2 linked regions of the Anolis sagrei genome follow. The protein of the gene in region 1 interacts with the protein of each later gene in a biochemical or structural test. Links are inferred from orthologs where the notes say so. Each region holds a gene or a part of one and is shown in the gene's direction. Other genes may lie near its edges. The genes, in order: torsin-1A-interacting protein 1 and torsin-1A-like.

Region 1 (9,960 bases):
TCTTTTAAAAAACAAAACGCAAAAACCCCCTAAAAACTAATTGAGTTTAGAAACAAATTTTTCCGTGGTTACCCAGCCCTAATATTTATGACTGCATGGGCTCTGATTACATTTTCTTGCCCTGGTGAAGGAAGTTGGACTGGATGGCCTTAAGTATTTTCTGTTGGTCATGGGGGTTGTGTGTGGGAAGTTTGCCTCAATTCTGTCATTTGTGGGTTTCAGAATGCTCTTTAATTGTAGTGAACTATAAATCCCAGTAAATACAAATCCCAAATGTCAAGGTCTGTTTCCTCCAAACTCCATCTGTGTTCATATTTAGGCATATGGAATTTTTGTGTCAAGTTTGGTCCAGATCCATCATTGTTTGAGTCCACAGTGATCTCTGGATGTAGGTGAACTACAACTCCAAAACCAAAGGACACTGTCCACCAAACCCTTCCAGTATTTTCTGTTGGTCATGGGAGAACTGCGTACCAAGTTTGCTTCAATTCCATCGTTGGTGGGGTTCAGAATGCTCTTTGATTGCAGGTGAACTATAAATCCCAGCAACTACCACTCCCAAATGTCAAGATTCTATTTCCCCCAAACTCCACCAGTGTTCCCATTTGGGCATATTGAGTATTCATGCCAAGTTTTGTCCAGATCCATCATTGTTTGAGTCCACAGTGCTCTCTGGATGTAGGTTAACTACAACTCCCAAACTCAAGGTCAATGCCCACCAAACCCTTCCAGTGTGTTCCGTTTATTTATTTATTTATTATTTGCTTTATTTCTATACCGTGTTTCTCAACCTAATTAGGCGACTCAATGCGGTTTTCCGCATTTCCGTTGGTCATGGGAGAACTGTGTGCCAAGTTTGGTTCAATTCCATCATTAGTGGGGTTCAGAATGCTCTTTGATTGTAGGTGAACTATAAATCCCAGCAATGACAACTCCCAAATGACAAAATCAATGTTTTTGAGTGAAGGACGTACATTGGGTTGTTAGGTGTCCTGTGTCCAAATTTGGTGTCAATTTGTCCAGTGGTTTTTGAGTTCTGTTAATCCCACAAATGAACATTACATTTTTATTTATATAGACTAGCCGTCCCCTGCCACGCGTTGCTGTGGCCCACTCTGATGGTCATGGGGGTTCTGTGTGGGAGGTTTGGCCCAATTCTGTTGTTGGTGGGATTCAGAATGCTCTGTGATTGTAGGTGAACTACAAATCCCAGCAACTACAACTCCCAAATGACAAAATCAATTTTTTGAGTGAAGGACATACATTGGGTTGTTAGGTGTCTTGTATCCAAATTTGGTGTCAATTCGTCCAGTGGTTTTTGAGTTCTGTTAATTCCACAAATGAACATTACATTTTTATTTATATAGATTATTGTTGTTGTTGTATTGTCAAAAGCTTCAGTGGGTTGCTGTAAGTTTTCCGGGCTGTCTGGCCATGTTCCAGAAGCATTCTCTCCTGAAGGGTAGTCCTCAGAGATCAGGATGCTTGTCTGTTCTTAAGATGAAAAGCACATGTCTGTGTTTTAGATGGGTTAGGGATCAGCTGGTTTTCCCTGTAATAGGCAGTAAGAGCACCTAGAGCAGTGGTTCTCAACCTGGGGTCCCTAGATGTTTTTAGCCTTCAACTCCCAGAAATCCTAACAGCTGGTAAACTGGCTGGGATTTCTGGGAGTTGTAGGCCAAAAACATCTGGGGACCCCAGGTTGAGAACCACTGACTTAGAGCTTCGGATAGCTTCTGTTCAACCATCTCAAAGCTCCCTGCTTGAGCGGTAATGGCACGATCATCAGCATAGATGAAACTTTCTGTCCCTTCTGGTAGTGGCTGGTCATTTGTGTAGATATTGAACATGGATGGAGCAAGCACGCTCCCCTGAGGCAGGCCGTCCTTCTGTTTCCGCCATCTGCTTCTCTAGCCCTGGAATTCAACAAAAAAGCTCCTGTTTTGTAGCAGATTTCCTATGAGGTGGGTGAAGTGGTAATCCTTTGTGATATTATACATTTTTGTCAGGAGGAGGCGGTGGTTTACAGTATCATAAGACGCTGACAGGTCTATGAAGACAGCTCTTGTGATCTGCTGTCTTTCAAAGCCATCATGGTCTACTGCATGAAAAACATGCTGAAGGCTACTCAGTTAAGCTATGACTAATTGTAGTAATGTCCCAAAGTACATTTACAGTACTCATCCTAGCTGCTGAACCATGCTATTTTAAATTTAAAACCACTTAAATTAGAGCATAAGCTCATAATTATTTTTAAATGCAGGCCTCTTGACATCTGTTTACAGAACTGTTTGGATATCATGGAATGTGCATGACCACTCTCAGAGCTAAAGAGAAAGTGCTGCCCATTCATGTGATGATGACAAATAGTGTTGCTGTCATGAATAAAATATAGTGCCACAATGGTAACACAAGGGGAATCTTGATGAATCAGAACAATCTAGGTCAATATCAAGTTTTCCACAGGAGGTTACTGGATACTCCAGGGAAGCTCACAACACAAAACAATGGCCTCCATTAGTTGTCATTCCTCCACTAACTAGCATTAAGAAGCACGCTACCTCTGACTCTAGAGGCAATGTTTTACCATCATAACTAACAGCTATCGATAGCCTGAGTACTCTTTTGCAAAAATGTCTAATCTATTACATTCTCGATGGATTTGTCTAATTGACAAGTTTCATGGTTGCAGCTCGCAGAACCATACACAAGACAAAGAGTAGGCTAACCAGTTTTCTCACTGACCAAATGTAAGAGAGCCACATATCTCTTTAATTAGAGTTGTGTGCGGAACCGTTTTCCTTTGTTTCATCCATTCTTTTGTTACTTCGTTACCTTCGGGAGCATGTAATGGGAAGCCCACTCCTGGCAGGAAAATCAGCTCGGCACAAAAGCAAGCAGGAGCCAATCCCGGCTCCTTGCCTGCTTTTCGTGAGTATGTGGCGCTCCATGCCTTCTTGCCTTGGAAAGAGAGTGCATGTGTGTGTGGCATGCAGGCCAGCTTGCAGCCAAGCACCTCCTCTAGAGTAAGAATGAGAAGTTACCTGTTGTCTCCTTGCTTTGGAAACAGGGTGCATGTATGTGTGGCATGCACACCCAGAAAGTCCACACCCCTGCCTGCACCCAAGTGCCTCCTCTAGAGTAAGAATGAGAACTTGCCTAGGAAAGAGTGTGTGCGTGTGTATGGTTGCCGAAATCACCTGTGCCTGCTTGCAGCCAAGCACCTCCTCTCGAATAGATAATAAGCCTCCTTAAAGCGTGCGCAGAACACACCTGTCTGCAGCTGAGTGCATCTCCTCTAGAGTAAAAGAACTTAAATGTCTAAAATGACGGGAATGGGAGCCTGGGAAGCACTCCCCCTCCCCCCAAAATGGGCCGATAGAAAATTGATCTTTTGGCAGCCAACATGAAAACAAATGTCTACCATCCCGATTTTGGTTGAAAGCAGATAATGTGGGTTATCTGCATGGATAATCCGGATTATAAGGCAGCGTAGAGGGGTCCACAGTTCTCTGGAAACGGGTCTAGGGCCCCATCTACACTGCTATATAAAATCCATATTATCTGTTTTGAATGGATTTATATTAGTCTACATTGCCATATAATCCAATTTAAAGCAGATATTCTGGATTTTATATGGCAGCATAGATGGGGCCTCAGACCACTTCTATATTGCCATATAGCCAGATTGTCAATGCAGATAATCCATGTTATCTGATTTGAACTGGATTACCTGAGTCTACACTGCTGTACAATGAGTTCAAAGAAGATAATCTGGATTTTATATGGAAGTGTGGGGCCTGAGTGACTACAGATAATGGACTTTAACATTCAAGTTATGGCCAAGCTTGCTGAAATGAAAGTGCATATCCTCTACTTGTTGTGTATAGTTGCCTGCCTTCTTGTTGCCATGAAAAATTTTCACAAGAACAAACGCAGGGCCAGGCCCGTAGCCAGGATTTCGTTTCGGGGGGGGGGGGGGGGGCTGATTTTTTTTTCAGGGGGGGTTTCAGGGGGAGGGCTGAGTTTCAGGGGGGGGGGGCTGAGTCTGAGTGAAAGAGGATGTACCCTAGCAAACCTTTTGTATCATTACCCCAATACCCCCATGCATATGGGATATATTGAGTATGGTGATCAGATCATGATATGAATAAACATAACAGTTTAAATAATGCACCAATAAGGCCTTTTCGCGAACCACCATGAAAATTTCAGGGGGGGGGCTGAAGCCCCCCGAGCCCCCCCCCCCCTCCGGCTACATGCCTGCGCAGGGCCCTTCCACACAGCCACATAACCCTGAATATCAAGGCAGATAATCTCACAAAACCTGCCTTGAACAGGGTTATCTGAGTCCGCACTGTCATATAATCCAGTTCAAAGCAGATGTGGGATTTAATTCAGCTGTGTGGAAGGGGCCCTTGAACATTAAGGCAGATATCTGCTTGGAACTGGATTATCTGAGTCCGGACTGCCATATATCCCAGTTCAATGTGGATTTTATACAGGTGGGTGGAATGCTCAAAGACAAGACCCATGATTCGATTTCATTCCTTATTCATAGGACCCTTCCCCACAGCCCTATATCCCAAAACATCAAGGCAGGAAATCCCACATATCTTGGGTGTGGACTCAGATAACCCATTTCAAAGCAGATATTGTGGGTTTTTCTGCCTTGATATTCTGGGCTACAGGGATGTGTGGAAGGGCCCTGAGTCCCCACTGCCATATATATATATATACTAGCCGTCCCCTGCCATGCGTCGCTGTGGCCCACATGGGGGTTCAGTGTGGGAGGTTTGGCCCATTTCTATCATTGGTGGGGTTCAGAATGCTCTGTGATTGTAGGTGAACTATAAATCCCAGCAACTACAACTCCCAAATGTCAAGATTCTATTTTCCCCAAACTCCACCAATGTTCACATTTGGGCATATTGAGTATTCGTGCCAAGTTTGGTCCAGATCAATCGTTTTTTGAGTCCACAGTGTTCTCTGAATGTAGGTGAACTACAACTCCAAAACCAAAGGACACTGCCCACCAAACCCTTCCAGTATTTTCTCTTGGTCATGGGAGTTCTGTGTGCCAAATTTGGTTCAATTCCATCGTTGATGGGGTTCAGAATGCTCTTTGATTGTAGGTAAACTATAAATCCCAGCAACTACAACTCCCAAATGACAAAATCAAAAAAAAAATTGAGTGAAGGACATACATTGGGTTGTTAGGTGTATGCTGTCCAAATTTGGTGTCAATTGGCCCACTGGTTTTTGATTTCTGTTAATCCCACAAATGAACATTACATTTTTATTTATTTATTTATTTATGTATATAGATAGATTAGATAGATAGATTAGATAGATAGATTAGATCAGTGGTTCCCAACCTTCGTAATGCTGCGACCCCTTAATGCAGTTCCTCATGTTGTGGTGACTCCCAACCACATTTTTGTTGCGATTTCATACCTGTAATTTTGCTACTGTTATGAATCATAATGTAAATATCCGATATGTAGAATGTATTTTTCATTCACTGGACCAAATTCGGCACAAATACTCAATACGCCTAAATTTGAATACTGGTGGGGTTGGGGGATTTATTTTGTCATTTGGGAGTTGTAGTTGCTGGGGTTTATGGTTCATTTAAATTAAAAGAGCATTGTGAACTCCACCAAAGATGCAATTGAACCAGACATGGCACACAGAACTCCCATGAGAGAAACAGAAAATACTGGAAGGGTTTGGTGGGCATTGACCTTGAGTTTGGGAGCTGTAGTTCACCTATATCCAAAGAGCACTGTGAACTCAAACAATGATGGATCTGGACCAAACTTGGCACAAATAATCAATATACCCAAATGTGAACACTGGTGGAGTTTGGAGAAAATAGACCTTGACATTTGGGAGTTGTAGTTGCTGGGATTTATAGTTCACCTGCAATCAAAGAGCATTTTGAAGCCCACCCATGATACAATTCAGCCAAACTTCCCAGACAGAACCCCCATGATCAACAGAATATACTGTGTTTTCTGATGGTCTTTGGCGACCCCTCTGACACCCCCTCGCGACACTCCTGGGGGTCCCGACCCCCAGGTTGAGAAACATTGGAATAGATAGATAGATTAGATAGATAGATTAGATAGATAGACAGATTAGATAGATTGAAAGATAAGCATAGATAGATAAGGATAGATAGATAAAGATAGATAGATAGATAGAGATAGATTCCTGCTGCTGCTGCTGCCCTGGGAGCCTGGCCTGCAGATGGAGGCGAGGGTGCTTTAAATCTCTCCCTTCCCTGATGACCTATTTTCTCCCACAAGCAGCTGATGGGCTGGACTCCGGGCTTGTTTTCTCATTTGCTGACTCGAAGGCCGGGAATGCTTCGGGGACCGGCCGGGCCTTTCTTTCACTTGAGGGCACTTTCTCATCTTGGCAACAACAACCAACGCAACCCCTACGATGTAGCAGGACCCCAGGGAAGCGGAGGCGGGAGCAGCTGCGCTCTGAAAGCCGGAGAGGAGCCCCTTTGCCTGGCTAAGGGACCCTGCCGAGGCTCCGAAGGCCTTTGAAGGGGGAGAGGCGCCCTGCTGAGGAAGACTGGGCTGAATATTAGGAAGAAGGAAAAGGGGGTGCTCTGTAACTGAGCCAACAAAAGGCAAGCCGCGCAGGCGCAGAAGGGAGACTAGACTGAGCGGCGCGTGGGCGGGGCCCGCCATGCACGCGGGCGGGGAGGGGAGGCTCTTCGGTCACGTGACCCCCAGGCGGCCTCTGAGGGAAAGCGCTTCCCAAAATGGCCGCGGGAGCAACAGCGCTGTCAACTTCCGGCCCCGGACGTCGACTCCTTCCTCTCCTCGGCCGAGGCGGGAAGTGAGGTTCTCCGAAGAAGTGCTGGAGCTCTCGGCGGAAGGGCCTTTTGCCACTCCGCTGGGGAAGCGGGCGAAGATGAAGCCGAGGCCGGAGAGGGGAGAGGGCCTGGAGGAGGAGGAGGAGGAGGACGCGCCCGCCTACCGCCTGCGCTCTTCCCGCCAGAAACCCTCCACGCCGTACAGGAGGGCCGAAGATCAGGATGAGGCCGAGGAGCAGCAGCCCCAGCCCCAGGAAGAGTACCAGGAGGAGGAGGAGGAGGAAGGCGGCTTCTCAGAAGGCGAGATATTCCCTCACCGTAAGTACTGCCCGCTTGGTCTTTATTTACGACATTTATAGTCCGCCTTTCTCAACCATACCGTGACTCAAGGCGAGATATTTATTATTTATTATTATTATTAACTTTATTAATAATAAAGGATTGGCAATATGGACGACGAACTGGATCACGTTTTTAGTTAAGAGCTGAACTGGATTGGTATTGATGTATGAATTGTGTTTTATGTTTTTATGCTTTTAACTGTATATTGTTGACTGTTATATTATGCTGTAAACCGCGTTGAGTCGCTGGCTAGGCTGAGAAACGGCGGTATATAAGTATTTAAATAAATAAATAAATAAATAAATTTATACCCCGCTAACATCTCCTGAGGAGAAAATGTGGAGGCCGTGACAGACTTTGTATTTCTAGGCGCAAAGATTACTGCAGATGCAGACTGTGGCCAGGAAATCAGAAGACGCTTACTTCTTGGGAGGAGAGCAATGTCCAGTCTCGATAAAATAGTGAAGAGTAGAGACATCACACTGGCAACAAAGATCCGCATAGTCAAAGCCATGCTATTCCCTGTAGTCACCTACGGATGTGAGAGCTGGACCTTAGGGAAGGCTGAGTGAGGGAAGATCGATGCTTTTGAACTGTGGTGTTGGAGGAAAGTGCTGAGAGTGCCTTGGACTGCGAGAAGATCCAACCAGTCCATCCTCCAGGAAATAAAACCTGACTGCTCATTGGAGGGAAGGATACTAGAGACAAAGTTGAAGTACTTTGGCCACATCATGAGGAGACAGCAAAGCCTAGAGAAGACAATTATGCTGGGGAAAGTGGAAGGTAAAAGGAAGAGGGGCCGACCAAGGGCAAGATGGATGGATGGCATCCTTAAAGTGACTGGACTGACCTTGAAGGAGCTGGGGGTGGTGACGGCCGACGGAGCTCTGGCGTGGGCTGGTCCATGAGGTCACGAAGAGTCGGAGACGACTGAACGAATGAACAACAAGTACTGCCCGTTTGGTCTTTATTTACGACATTTATAGTCCGCCTTTCTCAACCATACCGTGACTCAAGGCGGGTTATTTATTATTGTTATTAACTTTATTTGTACCTCGCTAACATCTCCCGAAGGTCTCGATGCGGCTTACAAAGGCCAAGGCCTCAATAAAACAACAATATAACAAATACACATAAACCAAAAGCAAATCAAAACATTAAGCAATAACAGTAAGCAATAAAAACAGTACACCGTGGCACAATAAAATCTAGGCCGGGCCAAATGTGATGGGTACAGATTAAAAAGTGCTGAGTATGCTGAGTGAGATGTAAGGATTTTTGAATAAGCGCACTGTGCGGACAATCTTAGTCTCTAATAAAGTACTTCTGGGACGTGTTACAGATTGGCACGATTTGATGCCATACATTCATAAAAGTGCGATTAAAAACATCAACGTAACAATATAAAACATATGTAAAAACCATTAAAACATGTAGTCACCAATGCCATCTTGTTAAAATGGTTTTCCTGGCCATTCCATGTTCATCATTCATAGTTTCATGTTATCTTTTCCTCTGCATTCTCAAAAACTTGCTCAAAGAGCCAAGATTTTAGCTTTTTTCGGAAAGTCAGGAGGGAGGAGGACTATCTAATATCCCTGAGGAGAGAATTCCATAGCCGGGGAGGCCACCACTGAGAAGGCTGTGTCCCTCGTTCCCGCCAATCGTGCTTGCGATGTAGGCGGGATCGAGAGCAGGGCCTCCCCAGACAATCTTAAGCTTCTAGATCAGGGGTCCTCAAACTAAGGCCCGGGAGCCGAATGCGGCCCTCCAAGGTAATTTATCCAGCCCTCGCTTAAGGTCAACCTAAGTCTGAAACGACTTGAAAGCACACAACAACAGCAACAGCAACAATCCTATCTCATCAGCCAAAAGCAGACCCACACTTCTCATTGAAATAGTAATAAGTTTATATTTGTTAAGATTGCTCCTCATTTTAATTATTGTATTGTTTTTAAGTAATCTTTGCACTACAAATACGATATGTGTAGTGTGCATAGGAATTCATTCATGTTTTTTTCAAATTATAATCCGGCCCTCCAACAGTTTGAGGGACTGTGACCTGGCCCTCTGTTTAAAAAGTTTGTGGACCCCTGTCCTAGATGCTTCATAAGGAGAGATACGTTTGGTCAGGTAAGCTGGACCAGAACCGTTTAGGGCTTTATAGGCTAAAGCCAGCACTTTGAATTGTGCTTGGTAGCAAATTGGCAGCCAGTGGAGCTGACGCAACAGAGGAGTTGTGTACTCCCTGAGCACCACTCCTATTAGTATCCTGGAGGCCATCCGTTGGATCATTTGAAGCTTCCGAACAGTCTTCAAAGGCAACCCCATGTAGAGCGCATTGCTGTAGTCTATATGGGATGTAACCAGAGTGTGGACCACTGTGGTCAAGTCAGACTTCCCAAGGTATGGGTGCAGCTGGCGCACAACTTTTAACTGTGCTAATGCTCCCCTGGTCACTGCCAAAATCTGAGGTTCTAGGCTCAGCGATTAATCCATGATCACACCCAAGCTGCAAACCTGCGTCTTCAGGGGGAGTGTAACCCCATCCAACACAGGCTGTAACCCTATGCCCTGTTCGGCCTTTCGACTGACCAGGAGTACATCTGTCTTGTCTGGATTCAATTTCAATTTGTTCGCCCTCTTACCACCTTATCACATTGAGAACTTTTCCCCTGGTAGGGCATTTCAGCCCCTTGTCAAGTATAGAGAGGCATGGAGCTCATCACACAATCCAGGGTTGAAAAGAGGCAGAAATATCCTGAAAGGAGGGAACTTTA
Region 2 (9,693 bases), on another chromosome or scaffold:
TGGTGTCAGTCATCTATGTCTTGTGTTATTATATATTTGTATTGATGCAGCTCAGGATCGCATTGGCCTTTTTGGCTGCAGCATCACACTCTTGACTCATGTTCAGCTTGTAATATGCCAAATCATAATAATGGTGGTAATAATAATAAGTCAAGCCAGGTGTCAGTCATCTATATCTTGTATTATTATATATTTGTATTGATGCAGCTTAGGATCGCATTGGCCTTTTTGGCTGCAGCATCACACTCTCAACTCATGTCCAGCTTGTAATATGCTAAGGTGTAATAATTATATATTTTATTTATTTATTTACGACATTTATATTTAGAATAATGATAATAATAATGATAATAATAAGTCTGGTGTCAGTCATCTATATCTTGTATTATATATTTGTATTGACGCAGTTTAGGATTGCATTGGCCTTTTTAGCTGCAGCATCACACTTTTGACTCATGTTCAGTTTATAATATGATAAGACCTAATGATGATAATAATAATAATAATAATAATAACAACTCAAGCCTGGTGTCAGTCATCTATGTCCTATATTATATATTTGTGTTGATGCAGCTCAGGATCGCATTGGCCTTTTTTGCTGCAGCATCACACTCTTGACTCATGTTCAGCTTATAATATGATAAAACCTAATAATGATGATGATATTAATAATAATAAGTCAAGCCTTTCTCTCACCGCAGCCTTTGAAGACATGCTGGAAAACCCGTTGAACAGCACGCAATGGATGAACGACCCCGAAACGGGGCCCGTCATGCTGCAAATCTCCCGCATCTTCCAGACGTTGAACCGCACGTAGGAACCGAGGGCGGAAAAGCCCGATTCATATCCGCTGTGCCATTTTTGAAGGACTTTCCCTCCTTTTGGGGGAGGGCAGAAATCCGTGTGTTGGGTGTGTCATTATTATTATTATTATTACGATAATTATTTTATCCCTCTCCCTCCATTACGAACTTTTTGTTTCCGTTTGCAGTGTGGCTTTCATTTTCCTTTGAGCAGAAAAGGGCCCGAAAAAAAGTAGATCTTTTTGGGATTCATAGTTCAACGGAGGAGGCCCTGGTTGTACTATACATCCCAATTCAGGGCCACGCTTTTAAACTCTTGGAGCGTGGCCACGTCGTCGGCGTTCAAGCCAGTTCCGTTTGGGGATCGATTAAAAGCAGGCAGTATTTGGAATGTCTTCTTCAGCTGTGTCTGTGTTGAAAATGCAGAAGGCTTTTTAAAACCGGATTTTTGTGTGCGTTGTTTTATTATTATTATTACTATGTTATTAAATGGGGAACAAAGGAGTGAATTAACCCCTCGTACAGGATCAAGTCACAGGGAGAAGCCAGGAATACATTTATTATTGTTGTTATTTCATCAATTCTAAAAAGGTAAAGGTTTCCCCCTTTACCTCTGGGGGTTGGTGCTCATCTCTAAGACGAAGAGCCGGCGTTGTCCATAGACACCTCCACTGGCAGGACTGCATGGAGCGCCGTTACCTTCCTGCCGGAGCAGTACCTATTCCATCTACTCCCATTTACATGTTTTCAAACTGCTAGGTTGGCAGAAGCTGGGGCTAACAGTGGGAGCTCACCCTACTCTCTGGATTTGAACTACAGACCTTTAGGACAACTATTTCATCAGCTCATTAGTTTAATCTGCTGCACCACTGATACTAAGAAGCCCTTATTTATTCCAATATAAACATCTCCAAAAAATGAGATTCACAGGTACTTTTGGAAACAGAAATACAGCTTTTTTCTGTTTTGATGATACTGAAATTAGTGAGTGCCTTAGAACTGATGAAATAAAGTATTATTATTATTATTATTATTCCAAGAGTAAAAGAGAGAGGGGTCCAGGGGACACTTCCACCTTGTCTCCTGTGCTATTCTAATATAATACAGTGTAATATAATATATTGTCTATACAGATAATATTTATAATATTATAATGTAATGCAATATAATACTAATAATAATTTAATTATAAATTTATATTACATGTAATATTACTAATAATACAATATAATGGTATAGTACAATAGAGTAATATTTAATACTGATGTTGTACTATGTCGATAATATAATAGTATATTGTATGTATATATACCTTGTAAGCTACTCTGAGTCCCCTTCAGGATGAGACTGGCGGCATATAAATTTCATAAATAAATAAAAAGCAGGGATATTATTATTATTATTATTATTACAATATAATGGTATAGTACAACGTAGTAATCTGTAATACTAATATTATGCTATTATAATAATATAATGTTTTTTATTTACATATTACTTGTAAGCTGCTCTGAGTCCCCTTCGGGGTGAGAAGGGCGGCATATAAATGTCATAAATAAATAAATAATATCCTACTTTTAAAAAACTATTATTTTAATTATTATTCTAAGAGAGTTAAAAGTTATTAATGTCGTCATCATCCTTTTTCCTCTCTTAGAAGAGATGGAATTATTAAAAGCAAAGCTTATTATTATTATTATTCTATGATTAAAAGCAGATTGTCGTTAATAATAATATTTTGCTTTTTACTACTACTAATAATAATTTAATTTACCATGTGTAAATTAAAACCTAAGACATAATAAACCTCAAAAACAGAATTAAATACAGGACTACGATGAAAAAGCTGTTAAAATACATTAAACTCTTGCAATTAAATTTAGGACTATTAATTTTTTTTAAAAAAAAACCCCATTAAAATAGAAATAGAAATGCAGCACCCCCCTAGGCTCAGTTATTAAGTGGGAAAATATCTTTAAAACCAAATAGGGAAAGGAATAAATCTGGTTTAAAATTAGCAAGAGGGCGCAATGCTCGGTGTGTCCACATAGTATTACACATAGTAGTCCTGGGCAGAGAGATACCCCATAGGCGTCAATAGAGGTGCACAATACCAAGGGGGCGCAATGCTCAATGTGTCCCCCGGAGGGCGGCAAAGGATTGCACATCCTGGACAGAGAGATGCCCCATACTTACTTCTTACTTTACTTAGGCGATCCCTCGTAGTCTGAGGATGATGGTCCTCCAAGTGTAGCATTCTGGCAGTGGGGCCATAGGGGACTGTGGAGCCCTATTCTTGACCCACATGTTCTCCTGCAGTGAGGGCATCGGTTTCCAGGTGGAAGGCCGTCCTGGTTGGGGTTGGCTTGACGTGCCTTCCTCTTGGCATGTATCTCTCTTTCGCCCTTCATTTGTGCCTCTTCCAATTCTGCAGCACTGCTGGTCCCAGCTGACCTCCAGCTGGAGCACTCAAGGGCCAGGGCTTCCCAGTTCTCAGTGTCTATGCCAGAGTTTTTAAGGTTGGCTTTGAGCCCATCTTTCAATCTCTTTTCCTGTCCTCCAACATTCTGTTTTCCATTCTTGCGTTCGGAGTAGAGCAACTGTTTTAGGAGACGGTGGTCAGATATCCAGACAATGTGGCCGGTCCAGCAGAGTTGATGACGGAGGACCATTGCTTCGATGCTGGTGGTCTTTGCTTCTTCCAGCACGCTGATGTTTGTCCACTTGTCTTCCCAAGAGATTTGCAGGATTTTCCAGAGGCAGAGATGCCCCATAGGTTTCAATGGAGGGGCAGTATTATATGATTTATTTACGACATTTCTATGCCGCCCTTCTCATCCTAAAGGGGACTCGGAGTGGCTTACAAGATATATATGCATACAATATATTATATTATTAGCAGAGCACAATATCAGCATTATATATTTGTATACTGTATTATACCATTATATTGTAATATTATTAATAATATAACATGTAATATAAAATATAGAAATATAATGAATTATTATTAGTAGTATATTGCATTACATTATAATCTTATAAATATTATTAATAATACATGTAATATATATATAATTAGAATACCATATTAGTAGCATATTGTATACACTATATATATACATATTATTAATAATACATGTAATATATACAAATATTATATCATATTATTAGTATGTTGTATACACAGTATATATACATATTATTAATAATAGATGTAATATATACATATAATTATAATGTGATATTATTAGTATTATATTGTATACACAGTATATATATAAATATTATTAATAATAATTTGTATTGGATATGTGTTTTATGCTTTTAAACTGAATATTGTTGTTTTTTAAGTGTTGTAAACCGCAATGAGTCGCCGATTTAGGCTGAGATATTAGCGGTATACAAGCGCATTAATAAATAAATAAATAAATAAATAAATAATAATACATGTAATATATAATTATAATATATTATTAGTATTATATTGTATACACAGTATATATATAAATATTAATAATACATGTAATATATATATAATTATAATATCATATTATTTGTATTATATTGTATACACAGTATATATAAAAACATTATTAATAATACATGTAATACATATGTATATATATACATAATTATAATATATTATTAGTATTATATTAAATACAGTATATATATACATATTAATCATACATGTAATATATACATATAATTATTAGTATTATGTTGTATACACAGTATATATATATACTATATATTATATTATACTATATTATTTTATTATCATAGCATATAGAATTGGGAAAGGTAGATTGAATAGGCAGGGCAGTGTGTATCCAAAGTATAATAAAGTGCATTATTATTAAATAAGCCACGCCCCTCGCTCCGCCCATTAGGGGGTAGCTAGAATGGGATAGGCTGGGTGTGTTGAGGAATAGGCCACGCCCCTCGCTCCGCCCATTAGGGGGTAGCTAGAACGGGAACAGCAGTGTATTAAGCGTTAGGCCACGCCCCTCGCTCCGCCCACTGGTATGGCTAGAATGGAAAAGGCAGTGTCTATCGAACAATAGGCCACGCCCTTCGCTCCGCCCATTAGGGTTACTAGAATGGGAATGGTGTATTAAGCATTAGGCCCCGCCCCCTCGCCCCACCCACTGGTGTGGCTAGAATGGGAAAGGCAGTGTCTATTAAGCAATAGGCCACGCCCCTCGCTCCGCCCACTGGTGTGGCTAGAATGGGAAAGGCAGTGTCTATCAAGCAATAGGCCACGCCCCAAGCTCCGCCCACTGGTGTGGCTAGAATAGGAAAGGCAGTGTCTATCAATCAATAGGTCCCGCCCCTTGCTCCGCCCATTGGTGTGGCTAGAATGGGAAAGACTATCAAGTAATAGGCCACGCCCCTCGCTCAGCCCATGTGGGAGACTAGAATGGGTTTGTATTGAGGAATAGGCCACGCCCCTCGCTCCGCCCATTAGAGGTGCTAGAATGGGAAAGGCAGTGTGTTTGGGAATAGGCCCCGCCCCTTCGTGCTGCTGGAATGGGATAGGCCGTGAGTCTCGTTTAAGCCACGCCCCCCTCCTCCCCGCGGGCCAATCCCGTCGCTGCGGCGTTGAACTCCCGCCCGGCCCCAAGATGGCGGCAGCGGGACCGGAAGCGCCTTCCCTGAGGGCCCTCCGCCGCCAGTAGAGCGGAAGTGCCCGTCGTGAGGCGATGCGGTGGCGGGTGTGGCTGGCGACGTGGGTCTTGTCGGCGGGCCTGGCCGGGGCAGTGGAGCCCTTGAGCCTGAGCCTGGCCCTGGCCGGCGCCGCCGCCTCCGCCTTCACGGGCTTCCTCTCCTACCCGCGCCTCTACTGCCTCTTCGCCCACTGCTGCCACCAAGGGGACGGCGCCCAAGTCCAGCCAGGTCAGTCAGGCAGAGGCCTACCTGGCTGCCTGAGGGGCTGTCACCTCAGAAAGTGGGAACTGTATTAACATAATAATGTCATGCTTATATTGTCACTATTAGAATAGTGCTATTATTTCTTCCTTAGTATATATTATTATATTGTTATATTATCATTATTGTGAATACTTATAATATTGGTAATATTTATTTATTTATCGTCTCATCAGCAACCATTGTATTACAATTCTAACAGAGCAAAACAAACACACAGACTAAAAAGAAAAAGGAAAAAAAAACACACAGATTTTGCAAATTTGGTAGTTGGTTAAATGTCCTTTGACCAGTATCTGGCCACTTGGAGTGCCTCTGGTGTTGCTGCAAGAAGGTCCTCCCTTGTGCATGTGGCAGGGCTCAGGGTGCATTGCAGCTGGTGGTCAGTGGTTTGCTCTTCTCCACACTCACATGCCGAGGATTCCACTTTGTAGCCCCATTTCTTGAGATTGGCTCTGCATCTCGTGGTGCCAGAGCGCAGTCTGTTCAGTTCCTTCCAAGTCGCCCCGTCCTCTGTTCGACCAGGGGGGAGTCTCTCATCTGGTATCACCCTTGGATTGAGGCTCTGGGTTTGAGCCTGCCACTTTTGGACTCTCGCTTGCTGGAGTGTTCCAGCGAGTGTCTCTGTAGGTCTTAGAAAACTATGTCTTGATTTAAATCGTTGACATGCAGGCTGACACCCAAACAGGGGATGGGCTGCAGATGTCTCTGCCTTGGTCCTTTCACTATTGGCTGCTACTTCCCGGCGGATGTCAGGTGGTGCAATACCGGCTAAGCAGTGTAATGTCTCCAGTGGTGTAGGGCACAGACACCCTGTGATAATGCGGCATGTCTCATTAAGAGCCACATCCACTGTTTTAGCATGGTGAGATGTGTTCCACACTGAGCATGCATACTCAGCAGCAGAGTAGCACAGCACAAGGGCAGATGTCTTCACTGTGTCTGGTTGTGATCCCCAGGTTGTGCCACTCAGCTTTCGTATGATGTTTCTAGCGCCCACTTTTTTTTGATGTTCAGGCAGTGCTTCTTGTAGGTAAGAGCACGGTCCAGAGGGACTCCCAGGTACTTGGGTGTGCTGCAATGCTCCAGTGGGATTCCTTCCCAGGTAATCCTCAGAGCTCGGGATGCTTGTCTGTTCTTAAGGTGAAAGGCACATGTCTGTGTTTTAGATGGATTAGGGATCAGGTGGTTTTCCCTGTAATAGGCAGTAAGAGCACCTAGAGCTTTGGAGAATTTCTGTTCTACCATCTCAAAGCTCCCTGCTTGAGTGGTGATGGCACGATCATCAGCATAGATGAAGCTCTCTGTCCCTTCTGGCAGTGGCTGGTCATTTGTGTAGATGTTGAACATGGATGGAGCAAGCACGCTCCCCTGAGGCAGGCCGTTCTTCTGTTTCCGCCATCTGCTTCTCTGGCCCTGGAACTCGACAAAAAAGCTCCTGTTTGGTAGCAGGTTTCCTATGAGGCGGGTGAGGTGGTCGTCCTTTGTGATATTATACATTTTTCTCAGGAGGAGGCGGTGGTTCACAGTCTCATAGGCTGCTGACAAGTCTATGAAGACAGCTCCTGTGATCTGCTGCCTTTCAAAGATAGATAATATTATAATATTATATTTCAAAGATTGGTAATATTATAATGGGGTACAATATAATAATAATAATAATAATAATAATAATAATGCTATTATTTTTCCTTAGTATATGTTATTATATTGTTATATTATCATTATTGTGAATACATATGATATTGATAATATTATAAAAGGATACAATATAATAATATAATAGTGCTGTTATTTTTCCTTAGTATATATTTTTATATTGTTGAATTATCATTATTGTAAATACATATATTTATAATATTATAATGTGGTACAATATAAAAATAAAATATGTATGCACAATAATGACAATAATAATAATAGCGACTGGACTTAATGTCAGGGGAAACCTTTACCATTATTATTATTATTATTATTATATAGTTTATATTACATGTAATATTACTAATAATATTACAGTCTAATGGTATAGTACAATATAGTAATATATAATACTAATATTGTGCAATGGTAATGATATAATATATTGTATTTACGTATTACTTGTAAGCCGCTCTTGAGTCCCCTTCGTGGGTGAGAAGGGCAGCATATAAATGTCGCAAATAAATAAATAAATTGTCATTGTCATGGTGTATATCATTGTGATTATGACAGTAATGATAACAGTCAATATTAACGTAACATATAACTATGTGTATTCATTTGTTGAGGATTTCTGTTCCTGTCAAGCTGATCTCACTTTCCTATCCCTACCCAATTGTTCCACCAATTTTTATGTATCTAAAAACACTCAATAAAGATTTAAAAAAAAAAAAAAAGCTGATCGGTGTGTCTTTTTCTCTCCCCGTCTGCAGTGCTACAGGAGAATTTGGACAAGAAGCTCTTTGGGCAGCATTTGGCCAGGAAGGTGATAGTGAAGGCCGTGACAGGGTTTCTGAACAACTCCAACCCCAAGAAGCCCTTGACGCTTTCCCTGCACGGCTGGACCGGGACCGGGAAGAACTTTGCCAGCAAAATCCTGGCCGAGAGCCTCTACAAAGAGGGCCTCAACAGCAAATATGTCCACCAGTTCATCTCCACCTTGCATTTCCCTCACCTGCAGAACCTCACCCAGTACAAGGTAAAGCACAGAGTCAATGATCTGGGCATCATTCTTTAGAGCTGGTCGGGGTTTTAGTGCAAACTATACTCAGGAAAGTCTGGAGTTGCCTCAGTGGCACACAGAGGACAGCCATCCCTTCCCATTTATAATAATAATAATAATAATAATAATAATAATAATAATAATATGTAGTTTCCTTAAAGGCACACAGGACAGTTGTCCCTTATTTATTTATTGACTTATTTACGACACTTATATGCTGCCCTTCTCACCCCGAAGGGGACTCAGAGGGGCTTACAATATATATATATATATATATATATATATACACACACACATACATACATACAATATATTATATTATTAGCATAATACAGTATCAGTATTATTTATTTATTTACAACATTTATATGCCGCCCTTCTCACACCGAAGGGGACTCAGAGCGGCTTACAAGTTAAATGTAAATACAATATATTATATTATTATCATAGCACAATATTAATATTATATATTACACTGTACTATATATTACTATATATATTAGATATTACTATATTGTGCTATTCCATTATATTGTAGTATTATTAGTAATATTACATGTAATATAAAATATATAATTATAATATTGTATTATTATTATTATATTGTATTGCATTATAGTTTAAATATATGTATATACAATATATTACAATGTATTATATTATTAGTGAAGCATAGGAAACAAGATGGAATCCTCTTCTGCCCCTCTTTTCACTCTGGCCCAAAGCCGGGGCGGGGGAGAGGGGGCTCCCAACTGATGACATAGGCAGGAGATAAGATTAGTAATAATAATTACCTTCACATTTAGTAATAATAATGATGATGATGATGATGTCTGCAGTTGGTTCAGTGGCAAACACACAGTCATGCCTTTACATTTATAATAATTACAACAAAAACAATGTTATCTCCGTTTTTGTCAGTGCCAAACAAAGGACAGTCATCCCTTCCCATTTATAATAATAATAATAATAATAACAACAACAACAACAACAACAAAACAGCAGTATTAATAGTATTAAGTAATAATAAAAACAATTAAATTGTTTAAAATATATTAAAATACACAAACAACAATATATAAGTACTGTATGCTTTTTTAAAGTTGCATTTGATTCCTATACTGTAACTATAATAATAATGATAATGATGATTGTGAAAATAATAATGATAATAATATTTTAATTATTACCTGCCTCTGCTGACAGCTTGAGGCGGTATACAAACCATATGAACATAAAGTACAAACAATA

The links.
Region 2: the proteins of torsin-1A-interacting protein 1 (region 1) and torsin-1A-like form a complex in vitro, tested with the Homo sapiens proteins (2 studies listed by BioGRID and IntAct). The link is inferred for Anolis sagrei from reciprocal best matches to the Homo sapiens genes TOR1AIP1 and TOR1A.

What each region holds. Positions count from the first base shown.
Region 1 is NC_090024.1:125,724,783-125,734,742, reverse strand, and holds the start of torsin-1A-interacting protein 1, read left to right. Parts: upstream 1-6,314; 5' UTR 6,315-6,708; coding exon 6,709-7,156; intron 7,157-9,960. UniProt on the Homo sapiens protein: Required for nuclear membrane integrity. Induces TOR1A and TOR1B ATPase activity and is required for their location on the nuclear membrane. Binds to A- and B-type lamins. Possible role in membrane attachment and assembly of the nuclear lamina.
Region 2 is NC_090031.1:3,864,566-3,874,258, reverse strand, and holds the start of torsin-1A-like, read left to right. Parts: upstream 1-5,469; 5' UTR 5,470-5,512; coding exon 5,513-5,705; intron 5,706-8,152; coding exon 8,153-8,418; intron 8,419-9,693. Other genes in the region: UBAC1 (ubiquitin-associated domain-containing protein 1), read left to right, coding at 702-817. UniProt on the Homo sapiens protein: Protein with chaperone functions important for the control of protein folding, processing, stability and localization as well as for the reduction of misfolded protein aggregates.